4 linked regions of the Arabidopsis thaliana genome follow. The protein of the gene in region 4 interacts with the protein of the main gene of each other region in a pairwise test. Each region holds a gene or a part of one and is shown on either strand. Other genes may lie near its edges. The genes, in order: AT5G47390, PLDBETA2, CDF2 and TCP9.

Region 1 (4,536 bases), on a different chromosome or scaffold from region 4:
CATGTCGGTCCGAGTACATTGAGAATTTAATGTTCCGATATAAATTTCCTTGTTTTTTCCCAATTTTGAAAAGTCCGTTAAATTTTCATATTTATTCAACGAGACACTGTACTTTCAGTTTCCACCGAAAAATAATTCATTACTCATCATTTATTCAATGTTCGATAATTTCTTGGAAGCAGACAGCATTTGGGCCTCGAGATTTAAATTGGCCCAAGGTCCACGTTTACTTGGGTCAATCACAGTCAAAACGTTTTCCCGGGGTTTCTCTCAATTTTTTTGTCAAAGTCTCTCAACTTTTAAAAATACAAACACTGGGATCCTCCACGGCATGCAAAAGGATATTATAATGAAGATGAAATCAAATTGGTATAAAAAGTTGGAGAAAGGTATAAACACTATGTATGTGGCTAAAAATAGCTAGAAACTTATAATTTAGGTGAAAGAAGATTTGAGTAACGTTGTTGTTGTTATATAATAAGATGAAATAATGACAAGAAATCTGAAATAATATGCGAATATGCCACCGACGGGAGAAATACACGTGGACGGCTGATAAAGCTTTGTGAAGGAATCCCACAATAATATAAGAAGATCTGACCAAAGGTTCCTTTCTGGATAAGCCGCTCTCCTCGTGTCCACGTGGCATTTTCAAACGTGGGACCTCCTAATCTATATCACTAAACCCATCCACTCATATTATCTCTCTTTCTATCATCTAAAATCCAAAATGTTCGTCCATTTTTTTTTTTCTGTTCATAAACAAAAACTGCATTGCCTTTTAATTTATTCTTCTTCTAATCCATACAAATGATTATGGAACTATAAATCTATAATAATAATACAATTAACCACAAAATAAAATATATCTTAGTATTATAAGATATGACTTTTGGAGTTAGGGGGTGTCTAATACAAATATTATGGTATTTGTAATCTTAGCAAGAAATGAAATCACAATCATGTTTATCTTTCTTAAGATAACATATTTTACTCAGTCATGGGTCTACTTTTATTTTCAGTTTAGATTATTAAATAAATAACAATAGTTTTGTCGCCTTACTATATGACCAAAAATTAGATTTTCTCTATGTGTAGGATGTTGGCATTTGTTTACCATTTTTCTTATGATAACTTATTAAACAGATGTCATATTTTACTTATTTGTGTTTATAACTGTTAAAATCTAGTCAAGCTTTCTGTATGGAACGCGTGAAGGGCTATTAAGATATTTTAAAATGTTGAATAGTGTAATTAATCTTGTGGCTAATAATATTCATGCCAATTGTTAATTTCTGGTGGAGGGTTAACACTTGTACATAAATACTTAATTTTTCTTTTTGCAGTTTTTGTATAGATATCCATCCTTATATAAATAGAAAAATATAAGGAAATTGTAATGATTTAGCATAAGACAATTGGATAATCACAAATGCATTAAACCTATTAACTAGTCTATATAGAAAGAGTTATTAGTTACAGCTATACTATTTGTGGTGGCATTAATATATAGTAACTTATTTAAGATATATGTCATAATGTTAAAAAGAAATCACAGAGAAAGCTGTTATTTTTTTTAATCCTAAATTTAAAACTTTGGATATTGAGATTAGCCTGTAATACATCTTTTTCCAAAAAATTTATACAAAAATGGCCATTAATAATTAATAGTAATAGCTAGTTGGACTTCTTAGTTCAAAGTAATTCAACATTTTTTCTAAAATAAATCTTCTAATAATAGAACACGTTGGATTGACTAATTAAGTCAAATATGAAATATGGAAAAGGAAAAAAATCCACCAACGATACACCAAATAATTTCCGATTTTTATATATATAAATAAACATACTAAGAGCAAAAGAAAAACAAACTGAAAATAAAAAAAATAAATAAATAAAAAAAAAAATCCGGCCAGATAAATCGAATTTATGTAATAAATCCGACCAGATAAACTGATATTATTGTCTTTCTTCCGCTCCTTTGTCTCTCTATCTCTTTCTCACAATTAGATTCTGTGCTTCTTCTGCGATCAACTAAGATCCGATCCGCGAGCGTTTCAGACTTCGATCAGATCCGATTAAGAGAAGCAAATCGGGTCGGGTATGACTCGTCGATGTTCTCACTGCAATCACAATGGCCACAACTCTCGGACTTGTCCCAATCGCGGCGTGAAGCTCTTTGGTGTTCGGCTCACCGAAGGTTCGATCCGGAAAAGTGCAAGTATGGGTAATCTTAGCCATTACACGGGTTCTGGATCGGGTGGGCATGGAACCGGGTCCAACACTCCGGGTTCTCCGGGTGATGTCCCTGACCATGTCGCTGGTGATGGTTACGCTTCTGAGGATTTCGTTGCTGGCTCTTCCTCTAGCCGCGAGAGAAAGAAAGGTATCTTCGTTTGATTTCTGAGATTAAATTTTTTATCAAATTCCAAATTTTTGTAATTGAGTTTATTTTGCATCAAAGTCGTTGATTGCATTATGTAACAAGTGGTGATCTGGTTTATGTAACAAGATTTTGATGTGTGTTTGATATTGGTTTTGTTGTAGGAACTCCATGGACAGAGGAAGAACACAGGATGTTCTTATTAGGTTTACAGAAGCTGGGTAAAGGTGATTGGAGAGGTATCTCAAGAAACTATGTGACCACTAGGACACCTACACAAGTTGCTAGCCATGCTCAGAAGTATTTCATCAGACAATCCAATGTCTCTCGTCGCAAAAGACGTTCTAGTCTCTTTGATATGGTTCCTGATGAGGTTTGTTCCTTCTTCATTCAAAAACACCATTTTTATTTATATTGGAGTGGTTACAAAATGTGTTGAGATACTGATTTAAAGGATTCAGAAGCTTATTAGGTGGATTGGTTTGCCTTCTACATTTCAATATGAAAAGTTGAAGTCTGTTGGGGTTCTAATTGATATGCTTGAGGATATCATTTTGTAGCCAATCCTGCTTAAGCATTTTGGTCTTCTCATGGGAATGTGATCTTGAAATGTAATTCTCTTTCTTTATTCTGCTTATGCTGTGTGATTTGTCCTTGTAGGTTGGAGATATTCCCATGGATTTGCAAGAACCAGAGGAAGATAATATTCCTGTGGAAACTGAAATGCAAGGTGCTGACTCTATTCATCAGACACTTGCTCCTAGCTCACTTCACGCACCGTCAATCTTGGAAATCGAAGAATGTGAATCAATGGACTCCACAAACTCTACCACCGGGGAACCAACCGCAACTGCCGCTGCTGCTTCTTCTTCTTCCAGACTAGAAGAAACCACACAACTGCAATCACAACTGCAACCGCAGCCGCAACTACCTGGCTCATTCCCCATACTATATCCGACCTACTTTTCACCATATTACCCGTTTCCATTCCCAATATGGCCTGCTGGTTATGTTCCTGAACCACCCAAGAAAGAGGAAACTCATGAAATTCTCAGACCAACTGCTGTGCACTCGAAAGCTCCTATCAATGTTGACGAGCTTCTTGGTATGTCTAAGCTCAGCCTTGCAGAGTCCAACAAACATGGAGAATCCGATCAGTCTCTTTCATTGAAGCTAGGTGGCGGGTCATCTTCAAGACAATCAGCATTTCACCCGAATCCTAGCTCTGATAGTTCAGACATCAAAAGCGTGATACACGCTTTATAAAAGACCTGAGGAAGTGATGGTCTAAAATGGGATCTGGTTTGGGGTTTACAGGTTAGTTGTTGGTCACAGTAACTTAAATAAGTTTTTCTTTGTTAGGTTGTTTAACTTGGGTAGGATGTTTTAGTTCAGCTTTGATCATTAGGGAAAAGAAAAAAGAAAAAAAAAAGGGAGAAAAACAAATTATTATTTTTTGCTTACATTTCTTTATATTTGTATGCTTTTATTTTGACTCTAGGATGCGTTAATTTTCGTTTAATCTGTACTAAAAATTAGAATTTATTAGTTTTGAATAAATAAAATCACAGTTTGTTTATCCTCTGACCAAAAACTATAACTGGATTGAAAACGGAAATTAAACCAAGACGAACCGGATTTAACCGGACTCCAGTGTTGTAAGAGAAAGTAAACAAGTTCCCAAGCGTTTCGTAAGTAAAAAAACGAATGGGCTAAACAATTAGTCTAAATGGGCCTTAAAAGAGTGAATAACGTGTCATAATCAGGAGCGTTAAATTTAGGGCGATGAGTGTCGAGAGTGTTCCCGCGTTCACCGATTCACTCCACTCTTTGGTTAAAAAGTCCACTGTCATGGAAAATTAATCGCGGTGATTTACACAGATGCCACGTGGCACGTTCGCTTTCTTTTTCTTCCTCGTGTTGATTTTTTTTCTTCTCTTTTGTCCCTCTTTGGTTTTTCTTTTCCCCTTCACAAGGCGCGATTTGAGTCGCCTCGCATTTCAAACCCTTCTTCTCCGGCGTAAACCTTTGCTCTATCTCTCGATAAAAACCCTTGTTTCGTTTTCACCTTCGTATTTAGCGATGCTTCCACACTCCTACACCGTCGATTCGCTTTCGCAATCACAAGACCTAGCTTCAGCTATACTCTCAGC
Region 2 (7,023 bases), on a different chromosome or scaffold from region 4:
ATGTGCTTCTTTTTTTAATGTCTCTCTACTCAAAACTCATGACCAGAGTTATTACAAAACAAAGAAACACACAATAGAATGGATTCACAAACATATTCAACAAGAGTTCTAAATAGCTTATATGGTGATAGGTTCAACCTCATTAAACAAAATGGATTCTGAAATGATGTTTGTAAATTGTATATTTATTGTTTATGATAATTACGTGCAGTTTGAGTTATTCTGGTGACACTAGTTCCTCTTTCTCAAGTACCAAATGCAACCAAAATAAAACATATACATTTAGTTACAATCTTTCACAGAAGTTATTATGTCTATAATAAAAAAATTAAGAGATTCTGCATCTTGAAACTGCAAAGTAGGTGAGGAAATAAAAAGAAACATAAATTGTGTTTATGAGCATGCTTGTTGTTAGAGTCCCAATATGTAGTAGAGTAGCTTGCAAGAAATCAGAGTTAATTATGCGTTTAAGAGCATGCTTGTGTGTGTAAGTGTTTCAAGTAAAACTATAATAAGTATGTGTGTTTGTATCTTGTAAGAGAATCACCCAAGTTTTATTATCAAGACATCATGCTCTTAAACGTGTTCTTGTTTCTCTCTAAAGAAAACAAAAGCAAAACAGAGTGACAAGAGAGTGAGAGTGCTGACCTCAAAAGAATGTTGGAAGAGGTAGTTTGAGAGTGAAAGTGTGATTTTCAACAGATATCTTCCTCACGTAGAAGAAGTTGAATGGTTAATATCAATATTGTTATGTATAACCAAGAAAGCTATAGAATTGCACTATGATATTGTGAAGCTGCAGAAAAATAAACAACAGTAAAGTACATACTTGAACAAGAAAATGAACTTTGTTAGTCCGCGTACTTGTCTTAACTCTTATGCAGGGGTAGCCAAGCAATATGAAACATTTAGTGTGGCCCATTTTTTTTTTTTCAAATTCTTTAACAAAAATTATTTACAAAATGGCCCCAATTTTATTGATTTTAACGATAATTGGCCCTAAATTTTAAAACCTTTCAAAATAATCTTGGATTTTTTGTTTTTTTGTATGTTGCCCATAAAACCGTCAGGTCTTAGGTAAAACATCTATAAATTAATATTCAATAAATTAATAAACTTTATAAATTAATAAATTCATTCAATCCCGAGTTGAAACCAGTGTAAGAATTGATACAAATCGATAAATTAATAAAATAATAACTTTTTGTGAAAATCATATGTAAATATTTGGTCCCATCAATATTATAAATTCACTAATTTATATATATATATATATAGATATATACTAAAATATGAATATAGTATTCAATTTGTATTAATTCTTTGTAGAATTTAATTCTAATATTTTTACTAAATCGAAAAATTTAGTTTTGGTTTTTAAACTTGATAATTGTTTAATAATTGTAATTGGTTTCAAAAATATTATTGATTATAAGAAAAGAAAAAAAATACCTTTTTTGATTGAATATTATAAGAAATTACATAATTTGTAAAATTTCTTTATAAATTAATATCTCTTCAAATTAATAAATTTTATCAATCTTAAAATTATTAATTTATAGAGATTTTACCTAATATGCATTTTTAACTAAAAGTCATAATGTTATATATTTTATTTATATTTAGAGAATAATATATATATTAAAAAAAAAAAAAAAAAAGGTTGACAAGTGGAAATATGTGACCGGCAATAGTAAGTTAAGTTGACCAAAACCAAAACCAATAAAATCAAAATCGAGAGACTCTTTCTTCCCCCAAGCGAAGAAGCGATGATCAAAATTTTACAACGGTTCCTCCATTTTCAGCGAAGGTAAGTCTCACCTAATTCCTTGGAACTAAGCTCCGCTGTGATCCGAATGTACTTATATATCTCTCTCTTCTGATCAATTCGCAAACCGCCATTGTTGCTTTTTTGAAATTTCGCTTCTGATGAAGAAATGTTGATCGGAGAAAACGTTGAAGACGTTTGAATTTCTTTATGAATTAGTCAGTTGTGGTGTTAGTTAGTTACGATGGAGAATTATGGTTGGAATTACCCTTATTACCCTTACAGGCCTCCGCGGCCTAATCCTCCTTACCCAGCACCGCCTCATCACCATGGATCAATGTCTCATTCGGGTCCATTAGACCACCACCACCCTCCAATGAGTTACTATGCTTCTTTTGATTACCAACACCAACCTCCTCCTCCTTACCCTCCAGTGAGTTACTATGCTTCGTTTTCAAGTCATTCAGATTTATCATACTCAGGCAGGCTAGATTCGTCTGGTCATGGTTTTACATCTACCGCATCGCCGCATAGTCCCGGTATGCACATTGTGCCCTTTGGTAAAGCCTCCTTGAAGGTCCTCTTGTTGCATGGTAATTTGGATATTTGGGTTTCTTGTGCTAATAATCTACCAAACTTAGATTTGTTTCATAAGACATTGGGTGTTGTGTTTGGTGGCATGACCAATATGATCGAAGGCCAGTTGAGCAAGAAGATCACTAGTGATCCTTACGTGTCCATATCAGTCGCTGGTGCTGTCATAGGAAGAACATATGTCATTAGCAACAGCGAAAATCCTGTCTGGCAGCAGCATTTTTATGTCCCTGTAGCTCATCACGCTGCCGAGGTCCATTTTGTTGTTAAGGACAGTGATGCCGTCGGTTCACAGCTTATAGGAATTGTTACAATCCCTGTTGAACAAATTTACTCAGGTGCAAGAATTGAAGGGACTTACTCCATTCGAGACAGCAATGGAAAGCCTTGTAAACCAGGGGCAACTCTATCATTGTCGATTCAGTATACTTCAATGAATAAACTCAGTGTTTATCACAGCGGAGTTGGTGCAGGTCCCTATTACCAGGGGGTGCCTGGAACATATTTTCCTCTTAGGGAAGGTGGAAGTGTCACATTGTACCAAGATGCACATGTACCTGAAGGGATGCTCCCGGGAATAAAACTCGGAAATGGAATGTGTTACGAACATGGAAAGTGTTGGCATGATATGTTTCATGCCATTTGTCAAGCTAGACGTTTGATTTATATTACAGGCTGGTCAGTGTGGCATAATGTCAGGCTTGTTCGGGATAAAGAAGATCCTTCTTCAGAATGTAGACTAGGTGAGCTCCTAAGATCAAAGTCCCAAGAAGGTGTGAGAGTCCTGCTTTTGGTTTGGGACGACCCAACTTCACAAAACATCTTGGGATACATGACCGTAAGTTACTGGAAACCTCAAGTCCCTACTTCTTTATTGGTTGTGAAGTGCATATGTTAGCTAGGCTATATAGGGTAGGAACCAGAACATCTTTTAGAGTCTCGGAAGTCAACAGCTTTGGCTTCTTCAAGTCGTATTGAGGTTCCTTCCGTTTATTTGTTAGCCTACTTTTCCTTGTAGACCAGAAATTTTTTGGTGGGTTTAATCTTCAGTTTGAATCTAGTAAGTATGAGAAATGTTTGCTTCACGCAGAAACCTGCAACTAGATAGAGATATATGTATCTTAGATGACATAGTTTAGATATGGTTATTCATGTATGTTTTAGGTATTGACACAATTTGTTCACATGAACAGGATGGGGTTATGGGAACCCATGACGAGGAGACACGCCGTTTTTTCAAGGACTCCTCAGTGCAAGTCTTGCTATGCCCTCGAAATGCTGGAAAGCGACATAGTTGGGTCAAACAGAGGGTAGAACATGAATTTTTGGTCTTTTTTTTGGTTGTGGTATCCGGCTTCTATTTATATTTTAGTCCATCAGGAAGTTGGAACCATCTATACACACCACCAAAAAAACTTAATAGTAGATGCCGATGCTGGGGGTAACAGAAGGAAAATCGTAGCTTTTGTGGGCGGGCTTGATCTATGTGATGGCCGATATGATACTCCTCAACATCCGTTGTTTAGGACACTGCAAACAGATCATAATGGTGACTATCACAACCCCACTTTCACGGTATGTCTGCTTGCCTTTCTAAATATATATTAGTGTAACTTTGGTGTCGAATACTTAAGGAATTTATAGCAAGGAATAACCTTTGGCAGTGGAAAAACATACTGCTTTTAACTTTATTAAGTGGTACTTCAATCTTTGTCTGTCTTCTCAAGTTCTTCTTGGTGATTACCTAAGTAATTCTTAGTTGCTAGTTTCTTTTGTTCTGAATGGGAAAGCCTTGACTTGGATTACTAAAATGTAATTAAGGGTAACGTGTCCGGTTGTCCAAGAGAACCTTGGCATGACTTGCACAGTAAGATTGATGGCCCAGCTGCGTATGATGTGCTGACAAATTTTGAGGAGAGGTGGCTGAAGGCTGCTAAGCCTCACAGAATCAATAAATTGAAGACGTCATATGATGATGCACTACTAAGGATCGACAGGATTCCAGATATATTAAGAGTTTTGGATGCTCCTACTGTTAGTGCAAACGACCCCGAGGCTTGGCATGTTCAGGTACGCACCATTGTATTAAAGTTTGGTTCTGATTAATTCACAAAGTCCATGGAAAGATGCCCATCTCTCAGTTGAACCATGCAAATTTTATACTTTGGTCCACAAATATTGTCCCAAATTTCTGAAGCTAATAATTGTCTGGTTTTGTAAATCAGATTTTCCGGTCAATCGATTCAAACTCTGTGAAAGGTTTTCCAAAGGATCCAAAATATGCTACAAGCAAGGTGAGGTGAAAAAATCAAAGAAACTTTGTGCTGTCATTATGATTTGGTTGGCTTGGAAATTGATGGATAGAGGGATTTTGTTTGGACAGAATTTGGTGTGCGGTAAGAATGTGCTCATTGACATGAGCATACACACCGCATATGTAAAGGCCATTCGTGCAGCTCAACACTTCATCTACATCGAGAACCAGTATTTCATTGGATCCTCCTACGACTGGAATGCTCACAAGGACATAGGTTTGTTTGTCTTTGTTTTTTCAAGTGAGCTCATGATTAGGAAAAACTCAAGATTACGATAATTTTCTCAAAATGTGTGTATATATACATGAATTAATACACAGAACAGAGACATTGTTTTTATCACTTTTCCAGTGCATTTAGCTGCGTCTGTGGTAACTCTTTTGCTTGTGGTTTTGACATTTCAGTTTCTTTGGTATTAAAATGTTGAGCACTATTCTCAGTATTTTTCTCAACTTAAGACAATGGTCTTGACAACCTTGGTCATTTCTTTAAGGTTGTTTATTCTATGTTGTGGTCATGTAGGTGCCAACAACCTGATTCCTATGGAAATTGCGTTGAAGATTGCTGATAAGATCAGAGCAAAGGAACGGTTTGCTGCATATATTGTCATTCCAATGTGGCCAGAAGGAGTTCCTACCGGCGCCGCTACACAAAGAATTCTATATTGGCAGGTAATTCTAGTGAAGTTGTGTCTTTGCAAACCGTTAACCTTCTCTGTCTTAGTCCATGTGACAATATTGATATCATGATCTTTCCCTTAATATTTCCTCAAAAATTGGTCAATGATCATTTAAGTAGACACTAGAAGATTGTGAAACTAAATGTCATAGTTATCGTCTTTGCAGCACAAGACGATGCAAATGATGTATGGAACTATCTACAATGCGTTAGTGGAGGCCGGGCTTGAAGATGAATACTCCCCACAAGACTATTTGAATTTCTTCTGTCTTGGAAACCGAGAAATGGTGAACGGAAATAATGAATCGGGTACAGGAAGTGCAAGCAACGAGAACACTCCTCAGGTAACAAAACCAAACTGCTTGACTTGCTAATGCGGTTTCTATCGTCATTGATTGATGAGTTTTGATTGAAACTGTATTATAGGGATTATGTCGAAAGAGCAGAAGATTTATGATATATGTTCATTCAAAAGGGATGGTTGTTGATGATGAGTATGTGGTAATTGGATCTGCAAACATAAACCAAAGATCAATGGAGGGGACAAGAGATACAGAGATTGCAATGGGAGCTTACCAGCCTCAACATACATGGGCACGACGACAGTCAGGTCCTCGGGGTCAGGTAATAGCACACAAAGATAGTACACACATGGTTTCATAGTCCTAGTCGTATCAATAATACTTGGTACATAATCTGCAGATCTACGGATATAGAATGTCGCTTTGGGCAGAACACATGGCACTGCTAGATGATTGCTTTGTGGAGCCAGAGAGTCTAGGGTGTGTAAGGAAAGTGAGAACAGTGGCGGAGGAGAACTGGGAACAGTTTAGGAGTGAGGAAGTGTCGGAGATGAGAGGACATCTGATGAAATATCCGGTGGAAGTTGATCGGAAAGGCAAAGTCCGACCACTTCCAGGAAGTGAGGAGTTCCCTGATGTCGGAGGAAACGTTGTTGGATCCTTTCTAGCCATACAGGAGAATCTCACTATCTAATCATAAGCAGAGTCGCATTTATTAAGAAGACCTTATATGTGTAAACAAACAACAATTGATCAGACTTTGTAAATAAACAAAGTTTGATGTTTCTCCTCAAGTTTGAATAACAAGTAAAAAGAAGCTACTTAATCCTAATTCTATTTAGAATAAGAAATCATGTACATGAAAAAGCTTTGGCCTGGCTATAAAATCCGAAATCCGAAAACCGATCCGGAACCGAACTTGAACCGAATAGTTACAAAATCCGAATGGATAATGAATTCTCCTATCCGAATTACTCGAACCGAATCCGATCCGAACCGAAATCCGAGAGGATATCCGAAAACTGAAAAATATATATATCCAAAAATATTATTTATATTTAGTTGTAATTTTATAATAAATAACAAAATATCCTAAATAATAAAGAAATTGGAAATCTTTTAGTTACATTTGTTAATAGTATACATACTTTTGCAAAATTTAACCAAATTTTAGTAAAGATTAAACCAATTTTTATTTAAGTTGAACAATTTTTAGCTCTTTAAAAACCGGTCCGAATCCGACACTTATCCGAACAAAAACCAAACCAAAGATTAGTAAAATCCGAACGGATAATAAATTTTCTATCCAAATTATCCGAATCCGAAAATATCCGATCCGAATTCGATCCGAAAATTCATAAAATCC
Region 3 (5,184 bases), on a different chromosome or scaffold from region 4:
TGGTCATGGTTTGAATTGTTGTATTGTGTGGTTCAGTTCATTCTTACTAGTCTTGACAAATTTTGATACAAATTTCATATGAATACTTACTTTACTTTATGTAAAATATTCAGACGAAATTTCGTATAAATTTTGCAAGAGTAAGGCAGCGAGACAAACAAGTAGACTAAGAAAAACATAAAAAGCAAAGGAAAATTTCTTATAGCTAATTTCCACAATTAAGTAATCGTTTTCTCACCATAATCCGTGACTTGTTTGACCAAACGTAAGAAATCAATTAAACGATGACTAATTCAATAGTACTCTTATTGTTCTAGTCATGAAAAAGACTAACACGAATTTAATGTCACAATTGCAACTAATTTCCTTACTAAATTTCCTGGAAATTGCAACTGAACAAACAAGGTAGTGGCTTTCTTTTTCTTTTGGCGTTTTTCACAAACTTCTTCTATATTAATTTACTACTTATCTCTTAATATAGTATCAAAATGTTCTTTCATTGGTTGTTTTGGTCAATAGACGATAAATCTTCTGATATAGCTGACTTTGTCAATCCATTTAGTGTGGTTTCTTTAATATTTTTAATCCTAGATTATACAAATATCGAACCGTAGTTGGCAGCTTGCAATATCTTCTCTTCATGCATCTACCACATTGCTTTTGCTTATGTATGTTGTCAATAGACTCTCCATTCATGCATCAACCATGACCATTTGCTTGCAGTGAAGAAGCTGTGTTTGCGTTATTTTCGCAGTATTGGTGATCGCGGCTTGCTTTTTCGAGACTTGGTTCATGTCTTTGTTGGGTGATTTTTGGACTGGTTATAAGAATGACTACACATCTACTAAAGCAAACCTGATTTACCATGGTAAACACTTGACATCGCGGTCATCTAAGAAGTTGAAGACAGTGGTTCGCTCCTCCGCGGATGCCGAAAACAAGCTTGTTGCTGCCACTACTACTGAAGTCCAATAAGTTAGATCACTCTCAAGATTCTGAGAATCATACATCATGTGGATAACTATAAACGTTCCTTTAAACTTGTTTGAATTTGTCTGTGAACATACAATGTCATGATAGGGAAAATAAGTTATTCATGCAAGATACATTTATTTAACTACAGTTTTGAGGTTTTTTCATTTATGATACAACAAACTTTCACTCTGCAATCCAAAAACTACTTATCCCTCACTATGTCAACCATTATATATATATACACAAACATGTGTGTGTATATATAGCTATATGTACAAAAGGACTCACCTGCTTTCTTGGAACACAAGACTGAACCCAAAAACAATCAAATCAGCTGCTTAGATTCTTCTTCTTTCTATGAGCTCTCATGGAAGTTTGCTGACCTAGAAAGAGCAGCAGGATTCGCTTGCAACTCCGGTCTTCTTCCCGGAAGTCTTCCTTCAGAAAGACTGCTTTTTTCTTTGGTTGATGATCTGAAAGCTCCGAAAGTATCCGCATTTTCGTCTTTTTTGATCCCTAATGTTTCCCAGATGGAACTTTTAGCAGCTTCCTCTGGATCATCAATCCTCAGCGTCTTGGGAACCCACAAGCATCTCTCGGGTTTGCTTTTCTCCCTACCAAGTGACTCGGTTTCATCAAAAGCGGTTCCTGGTTCAGCAGCGTTCTCGTCACGTGAATGTTTACCTAGTGTAGGAGAATTTGGATTGGAACCAGATGGTGAATTGGGTTGTGGCATCCATGTGAAGCTGTTCCATGCCCCCGGTGAAACCCCCGGGCAGCTCCAGTAAGCCGGTGGAGGGTAAAACGGTAAAATCGTCCACGAAACTCCGTTCCAAGCGTAAGGCCAAGTTGGTGGTGGTCCTGGAAAGCATGGAACTTTTGGTAACGGGCTGACTGTTCCAGCTTCTTCGTTTGTCTGGTTTAACGGAACCGTAATCTTCAAGCCTTCATTGGGTTCTTGCAATACAGTTTGTGTCTTCAACAATGACTTCTCAACAAGATTCAATCCAGAAGCCATAGATTCACAAAGCACAGAATCAGAGCCAAAAGTGAGAAGATTTGCACCATTAGGATGTTGAAGATCAGTTCTCGCCACCTTCTGCATAGCTTCCGCAGATGTTATACTTACATGACGGTTATAATGAGAAGCTGGACTCTTATTCTTACGTCTCCCAGCACCAACCGGAACATTCCTCATCGTTCCACCAGCTGTCCAATATCTCTGACATTTCTTGCAGAAATGGCGAGGTTGGTTAACATTATAGTTGTTGTAGTAACAGAACTTGGTTTCCATGCTGTTACATCGCGGACACGGTAGAATCTTATCAGGTTTCTTTAACTTCCCCTCTTGAGAGCAAGCAGTACCACCTGACTCTTCATTCGTCTTTGCAGCTTTTGTTGTTTCCGTTTTTTCAGTTATACCCGATGTAGTAGTAGTAACATCATTAGATTCATTCCTCAATGACTCTTCCTGACACTCACTATCTTTTTCTTCCTGAAGAATAACATAAGAACCAGAGTCAGATCGTTGTTATGTATCCTAATCAAACAAACAACAAACAGAAGCTAGAAGCTACAGGGATCAAAGACTTGATTCCAATCACAGAGAAGCTAAAACCCTGAAAAGTTCTTAAGCAAATCAATATCAAAACCTATAACCATCAATCAAAACCAAATGGAACTAATTAAGATCTCAAATCACTTTATAACAAAAGGAAAAAAAAAAACTCATTTGAGAATCCAGATTTACAATTTTCGAATCCCCAAAAGCTCTGAAAACCTAGTTCTTACATAAACAAACCAAAAATCATAACTTTATCAATAAAACTAAGATTTGACCAATCTAACATAAACCCATCAATCATTTCCATTTAACAAATCAAAATCAATTCACAAGTTCCAAAAAAAACTAACCTTTTTATCAGTCTCGCTCTCTCCTCCACCATCACCAACATCATCACCTTCTTCTCGTCCTAAACCGGAATCACCCATCTCTTCATCATCATCATCGCCGGTACACGAATCTGATAACCGAACAGGAATCTGAGTTTCGGTTAAAAATCCGGTATAGCTAGAAGAAGAATCAACAACACCAAGCTCAGGTAAAGGAATCGTCTTTCCAAAGAGCTTAATCGCCGGATCAGCCATGGTAATGATTCCTTTTCACTTCTTTCTTTCTTTCTTCTCCAGCGAGCAAAAAGCGGAAACTTTTTGAGAAGACAGAGGAAAAAAGTTCCAATTTTTATTTGTTTAAAAGAGAGAGAGAAACGACTGTCTTGTTATCGGTGGTTGTCTGAGTTTTGATTTCTAGATTTGTTAATTGGGAATGCTTTTTTGTCTTTGCGAGAGAGAAAGAAAAAAGATTTACAGATTTTGCTTTTTGGGTTTGTGATCTTTCGAATTGTACAACCTTTTGATTCGCCCAGAGTGCCACGTCATCACACGTGAGGATTCTTAGCCACAAGTTTATTTTTGTTTTTGTGGACTTTTTTTTTTCTCTTTTTCGTCTCTTTTTGGCTTTCTTTTTATTTTCCTTTTCAATCTGGTCAGTGGTCAGCACTTTTTTTTACTTTTACTTTTCTTTTCATTTTTAACTTTTTTATTTTAAAAGTCTGAATTTTTTTAAATTAATGTAAAAATGGTTGATTAAAGGCCATTTAACTTCTAATTTACATGTTTTCTAATTCTAACTATGTCAATAAATTTTTTGTTACCCACACATTTATTAAAAAATTACTGTTTATAAATGAAATTTCAGAAGAAAAAACAAACTTTAGAGTAACAAACAAAAAACATATTTAAAACCTTGAAACACTTTTTAATTCCTAGCTTTCTATAATAGCCATATCCATGGAAAACAATATCATGATTAGATTTGGAGAGAAAGAAAAAAAAAACATATTTATGAAAGAAACAAATTACATGATATAAACATTAATTTTCTCATTTTTAAAGAACTAAGAAGATCCAACAAAAAATTAAAATACTAAAAAAATATAGTATTTTATCCCCAAAAAAACCAATCTTTGTCTTCAAACAAATCCATTTTACAGATTGATACTCCTTGTGTTCTTTTTTCTTTGATTTTTTAGGAAAAACACAAATATTAAGAAAACATATTAAATGTTGCTTTTAAATGTATTATTCTTTGTAATTTATAATTTTCAATAACTCTAAACCAATGATATTCAATAATTCTTATTGAAGTTTACAATTTATCAATTATAACTAAATAAATATTGCATTGAAAACCAAAAAATCAATCTTTTTGAAACAATTTTTTTCTAGAAAATCAAAAAAAAAAAACAAAAGGAGTATGTGTTTTTTTACGCTGATAATAATAGTCATTTAGTTACAGTTTTAGCTTGGTACTTGTAGGAAAAATAAATTAACATTGAAATCACTTTCTTTTTTTTAAATGAAGCTACAAGTATTTACTATATAGTGGATCTTCAGTTTCTTTCCTCTTTTTTGCCTATATTCTTGTCATAAAATCTTCAACATATCAGAGATACGTGGCTGTAATAAGTCGATGTTAGAAGTTGTGGTTACTAATGAACGCCAAGTCGATTTGGAAAAAGTGCAATATTGTGGATAAGAAGTAATTGAACGCCAAGTCTAACATTGAAAAAGTGCAATTATGTGGATAAGTATATAGTACCTTTATTTCAGACCACCCCAAATCACAAATATATACTATATAATAAAGTTTTTTCATTACATTTATTATATTATCCCCACTTGGAGGCACGACTGATAAAGATTCTTAGGAAACATATTTTATCATTTTTCGACTGTTTCCCCGAACTAAAGAAACGTTATTTGAGTTTTGTTTTATTAAAATTAGCATTTTTCGTATAAAAACAAGTCTCGTTGATATATCACATGACTTGAACATTCTCGAATTAGAACTTGAATGAACTATATTGTAAAAAAAAAAAAAAAAAAGAACTTGAATGAACTATATTGTAAAAAAAAAAAAAAAAAGAACTTGAATGAACTATATTGTAAAAAAAAAAAAAAAAGAACTTGAATGAACTATATTGTAAAAGCTGGCTAAGTTCATTAAGTGACTCTTGGTGAAAACGGAGAATTTTTGCTTAATGAAAACATGGTGATCAAATTTCGAATATTACAATACAAGATTGATTCGAATAAATTTTCATATCGTTACTAGGAAAAACAAAACTCCATTTCATTATTGCTAAT
Region 4 (4,148 bases):
TAATACATTTTACCTTGTGTTTAACCTTTTAAAGTTTTACTTCCTACATATCTTAAAAAAATATATAATCAACGGTGTGAAACGGAGAACCATGGTTTAACTTTAACCAACCACACTTGAATTATAAATCAAACATAAACAAAGTTATCTTATAGTAAATCCTGTCTGGCGTTGAGACCGTAGACAAGAAGAAAATATCTACTACTACTAGTACTAATTAAACAACGAACGAAATAGAATCAACGGTTAGGACAAGACGATGGAATTGAACGGTAAAGATTAGATAGACACAAGTATGACCCACGCCAGGCTGTTCCTTTATTTCCTTAGCGTTAAACTGGTGGTGCTGACCCAACTAGGCGTCCCTTGAGTGGGAAGCTTTCAGGCCCCACGAAACAACGCCGTATTAGTGGTACAATCAAGCTTACTAGGCCCCGCCAATAACACGGACGAGACTTTTTTCGCAAAAAGCTTTTGTAACACTTGTAAGAAAATGGAATCATTTGAAAAGTAATGCTACAACAATTTTAGGAAAACAACATTAGTATTTTCATTTTAGATAGAAATATTTATTTTGTTACAGATTTTAATAAAATCAAAACATCAATATCACAATTGTTGTTGAGTGGACCATGACTTAGAGAGGGCTTCAATAAATCTTATTTTGTAAAATTACAAAGACCAAAAAAGTCAAGACAAAGTGGTGAGCCCCCACCAAAAAAACGAAACGTTTCGAATTATGCTTAAGCTTAAGCTGGTCCTACTCATACGGACCACGTAGCTCTAACCATTTGGGGACCACACCCAACCTGGCTGCCTCGGAAGCTATGCGTAAGGTGGGAGCCGTGTGGCCCCTCTCCTCCTCCCTCCACTCTCTTTTTGGTGCGTGTTGACCCACTTCTGCCTAAAATCGAGGCCCACTTCTTAACACGTGCACTTCTTCATGTGCACACGTGCTTTTTTTCCGATCACTAATACGCCGCCGTTTCCTTTCTTTTCTTCAGTGGTTCGATGACCGTGCTGTTGTGGTGCTCATGAACTGGTGAAGCTCTTGTTTCTCGTATATCTCTAGGGAGAAGTCTCTCAGCGTGTGCGTCGTTGTTGTTGCAATTGACGATGAACTACCGGTTGTTACGCCTGAGCTTGAGCTCGGAGCCATAACCGACGTCGCTCTTGATAAATTCGAACCGCTAACGTCTGAAACGGATACAAAGCCGCTGCTTGGAACAACTTGTAAAGGAGGTGGTCTAGCCATCGTGGAAGCCTGTTGAACAGCGGCGACGTAAGACGACGGCGAAGCAGCGGCGGCGGGAAAAGCTAATAACTGAGGCTGATTCGACGGACCAGCGATTTGTGGAATCAAGAAGAAAGCTCCGACCGTCGGAATCATTGCGTTTGATGGAATAGCCCACATCGGATACATTCCTTGCGGCAGAAGTTGCTGAGCCACAGTGGATGATGCCAGAGCTTGCGGAGGTTGGATCGTTGTCGTCGTGGCAATTGGAGCTAAACCGGAGGAAGCTGAAACGGCGTCGCTTATGTCTATATACTCACTGTTAGAAGGTCGTTTACGTTTCTTCTTCATCAGATTTTCACCCATATCAGAATCAGCGTTCGTCGTCGTCGGGATTTTTAAGGTTCCGTTAACCGACATGGCGATGGCGGGAACCGTTCCCGTACCCGTGGCGGCTATAATCGCCGGCTCAGCGTTCTCCAACAACCACCGAATCGTTTCGCCGTCGGATTTGTGACCTAACTCTCGAGTTAATTGAAAAATCCTAGCCGCACACGTGGCAGGCATCCGTATCCTTCTCCCTCTTCCTTCAACCTTCGTGTGACGGTCTTTAGTCGAAGCTCTCTTCAATGGTGGTCCTGTCGAAGACGGTGGAGCTAAAGACATTGAAAACGACGGCATCACCGGCTCCGCCTTGGGCTCGAGACTCACTGTGGGATTTACTTGGAAAGGTCTTGAAGTTTCGACGTTTCTGACGCCGTTGATGATGGTTAGATCAACGGCTCTTAGAGTTTGATCTTTGCCTGCAACTTCTTCAAGCTTCTGAATTGTCGCCATTAAAATATAGCTGAGAGAAAACGGACGGTGGAGATGACGACGAGAGTTGTTAAAAGCGGATACAATGGGAAAGAATCGTTTTAACGGCGTTACACGTCCAAGGAGATTACTAAATGTGACTCGTCAGGATATATATATAGGAGCAGGAAAACAAGTGAGAATAGTATTCAACGCTTTTTGATGCGGGAAAAATCAACGGTCCTGATGTGTTCGATGAGCTTTAAAGAACCATTCCGATTGTACCACGTGAACAAATCACTTTCCATTGCTCTATCTTCTATCAGTATTATTATGGGACCATCTGTACAATGGGGTCCAGTAAACTTTATTTCTCTTTTCACAAAATGTTTTTCTTTTATTGTTTAGTAATATACTTGTTTTTTAACCTAAGAAAAGCTTCAAAATCCAAAATCAGAAACTCATTCTGGTTAGTACTTACTAGTTACTAGTACACTCCCAAATGAAATACCTAGCTTTGTACAAAAATTTCCATCGCTGATCAAATTTAACTTTTCTATGGTTGGAAAGATTTTCAATAATTTTTATTGGTTAGGCAAAAAAAGATTTACTTTAATTTTATGGAAAAAGCTGTAAGCCCATACTTGGGGTTGGACCCCATTAATGTAGGTCACAAGGCTGCGCCACCAAAAAGCTAATTAGTGTCTATGGAATAATCCTCTTTCCAGGATTCCAAAATCCTCCTATCGTCCGTCCTTTGATTAAACCGGTCACATACATATACGCATACTTATGTACTTGTGTACTTGTACAATCCGGATATTAAACATACAAACCGAACTAGAAATCAGATCAAAGTAATCGAAATGATTGTAAGTTCGACGGTAACTAGATGTAACCGATTCAAACTTATTTTGATTCGTTGGTACTTGTTTCGGGTTTGAACCACTAGCTATGCTACTTGTACATACGACCGACCAGAAAGAGGGACCGTAAGCACCAGAAAAGAAAGGCTACAAAACGAAAATGTGAATGTGGGCCTGAGCTGGACCCTACTCTCTTCAGTTCCACACATTGTTGAGGGCTAGGCCCAACTATTCGACCCCACCATTCCCTACCCACTCAAAAATCAAAATATTGGCGATAACGTGGCCTTGAGATTAACAAACAAACGGATCCGGGATTAGAATTAAACACCAAATTATAAACCGGTCAAACCGGTAGTAACCTTTTAGGCTTAAAAGTTAAACCAAGTGGGTTCCACCTTTTCCGATTACAGATTCGGGTCCACCACAGAGGGATAATGTTGTAATTTTCGCAGCCACCAACTTTTGCCTACCATCAGCATACCATTCATTACGCCAGCATCAATAATTTGGGCTGATTGGTAAATTTGAGGTTTTGGATTCCGATGTTTTTACTTTTCACTAACCACACAATTTCACATAAATAAGTGTAGTATTTCTTACAAACCATTTAATCTTTAATGATGCTTGTTTTATTCGTATCGGTCCATTTCTTTAGACATAGAGAAGCTTATCTCTTCAGATACATCTGTCTATGGTTATGTTCTCTACCTGTTGCAATAAACACAATTTCTAACAAAAGCCTGAAACCATTCCCTAAGAAATCTGTAGGAGCCTTTGATGATCTGAAAAAGCATTCCAACAATGGCAATATTCTTCCGTTGCATATAAACCATAAGTAAAACGCTTAACCTCACGATCCCGATATGTAAGTGTACCGTGACTGAGCTCCCTCCAAAAGCTCCACAATTTTCTCTGCAATTTCCATGAGAGAACCAAAATAAGGTCAGTAGATGGCAAGTAGACAAGACAATCAGTGATCTCGTGAATGAAATGAAAGCTTTAAAAAGTAAACCTGTGAGGAATCCGATCAATGGAATTAGTTCCAGCTTCTTTTGAGAGCTTTCCAGCTTCTGCCTGCAATTGCAAGACAAGCATATTTGATTTATTAGTAACCCGCGATAGCTTAAGCTTTAAGCCTAAAACCCAGGGATACCAAATCTAATATTAACATAAGAGCCAAGAGGAAATGAACCACTTCGGTTTCAATTTTTCCCATTTCAGAAAATGCCATAATTGAAACCATAAGAACA

What was found.
Region 1: the proteins of TCP9 (region 4) and AT5G47390 interact in binary tests that used the Arabidopsis thaliana proteins (3 or more experiments, as listed by UniProt).
Region 2: the proteins of TCP9 (region 4) and PLDBETA2 interact in binary tests that used the Arabidopsis thaliana proteins (3 or more experiments, as listed by UniProt).
Region 3: the proteins of TCP9 (region 4) and CDF2 interact in binary tests that used the Arabidopsis thaliana proteins (3 or more experiments, as listed by UniProt).

Annotation. Positions count from the first base shown.
Region 1 is NC_003076.8:19,224,898-19,229,433, forward strand, and holds AT5G47390 (myb-like transcription factor family protein), read left to right. Parts: upstream 1-1,871; 5' UTR 1,872-2,103; coding exon 2,104-2,386; intron 2,387-2,547; coding exon 2,548-2,756; intron 2,757-3,043; coding exon 3,044-3,649; 3' UTR 3,650-3,998; downstream 3,999-4,536. Other genes in the region: AT5G47400 (sphingomyelin phosphodiesterase), read left to right, coding at 4,265-4,536. UniProt on the Arabidopsis thaliana protein: Transcriptional repressor. Direct regulator of the transcription of peroxidase (Prxs) and reactive oxygen species (ROS)-related genes via the recognition of 5'-ATCACA-3' motif.
Region 2 is NC_003075.7:105,708-112,730, reverse strand, and holds PLDBETA2 (phospholipase D beta 2), read left to right. Parts: upstream 1-1,725; 5' UTR 1,726-2,012; coding exon 2,013-3,200; intron 3,201-3,555; coding exon 3,556-3,672; intron 3,673-3,742; coding exon 3,743-3,937; intron 3,938-4,183; coding exon 4,184-4,432; intron 4,433-4,587; coding exon 4,588-4,656; intron 4,657-4,745; coding exon 4,746-4,893; intron 4,894-5,199; coding exon 5,200-5,348; intron 5,349-5,522; coding exon 5,523-5,699; intron 5,700-5,781; coding exon 5,782-5,979; intron 5,980-6,057; coding exon 6,058-6,351; 3' UTR 6,352-6,481; downstream 6,482-7,023. UniProt on the Arabidopsis thaliana protein: Hydrolyzes glycerol-phospholipids at the terminal phosphodiesteric bond to generate phosphatidic acids (PA).
Region 3 is NC_003076.8:15,876,859-15,882,042, reverse strand, and holds CDF2 (cycling DOF factor 2), read right to left. Parts: upstream 3,318-5,184; 5' UTR 3,124-3,317; coding exon 2,890-3,123; intron 2,471-2,889; coding exon 1,331-2,470; 3' UTR 1,264-1,330; exon of another isoform or gene 962-1,263; 3' UTR 506-961; downstream 1-505. UniProt on the Arabidopsis thaliana protein: Transcription factor that binds specifically to a 5'-AA[AG]G-3' consensus core sequence. Regulates a photoperiodic flowering response. Transcriptional repressor of 'CONSTANS' expression.
Region 4 is NC_003071.7:18,819,717-18,823,864, forward strand, and holds TCP9 (TCP family transcription factor), read right to left. Parts: upstream 2,174-4,148; 5' UTR 2,072-2,173; coding exon 1,001-2,071; 3' UTR 526-1,000; downstream 1-525. Other genes in the region: SSE1 (shrunken seed protein (SSE1)), read right to left, coding at 3,749-3,810, 3,911-3,972.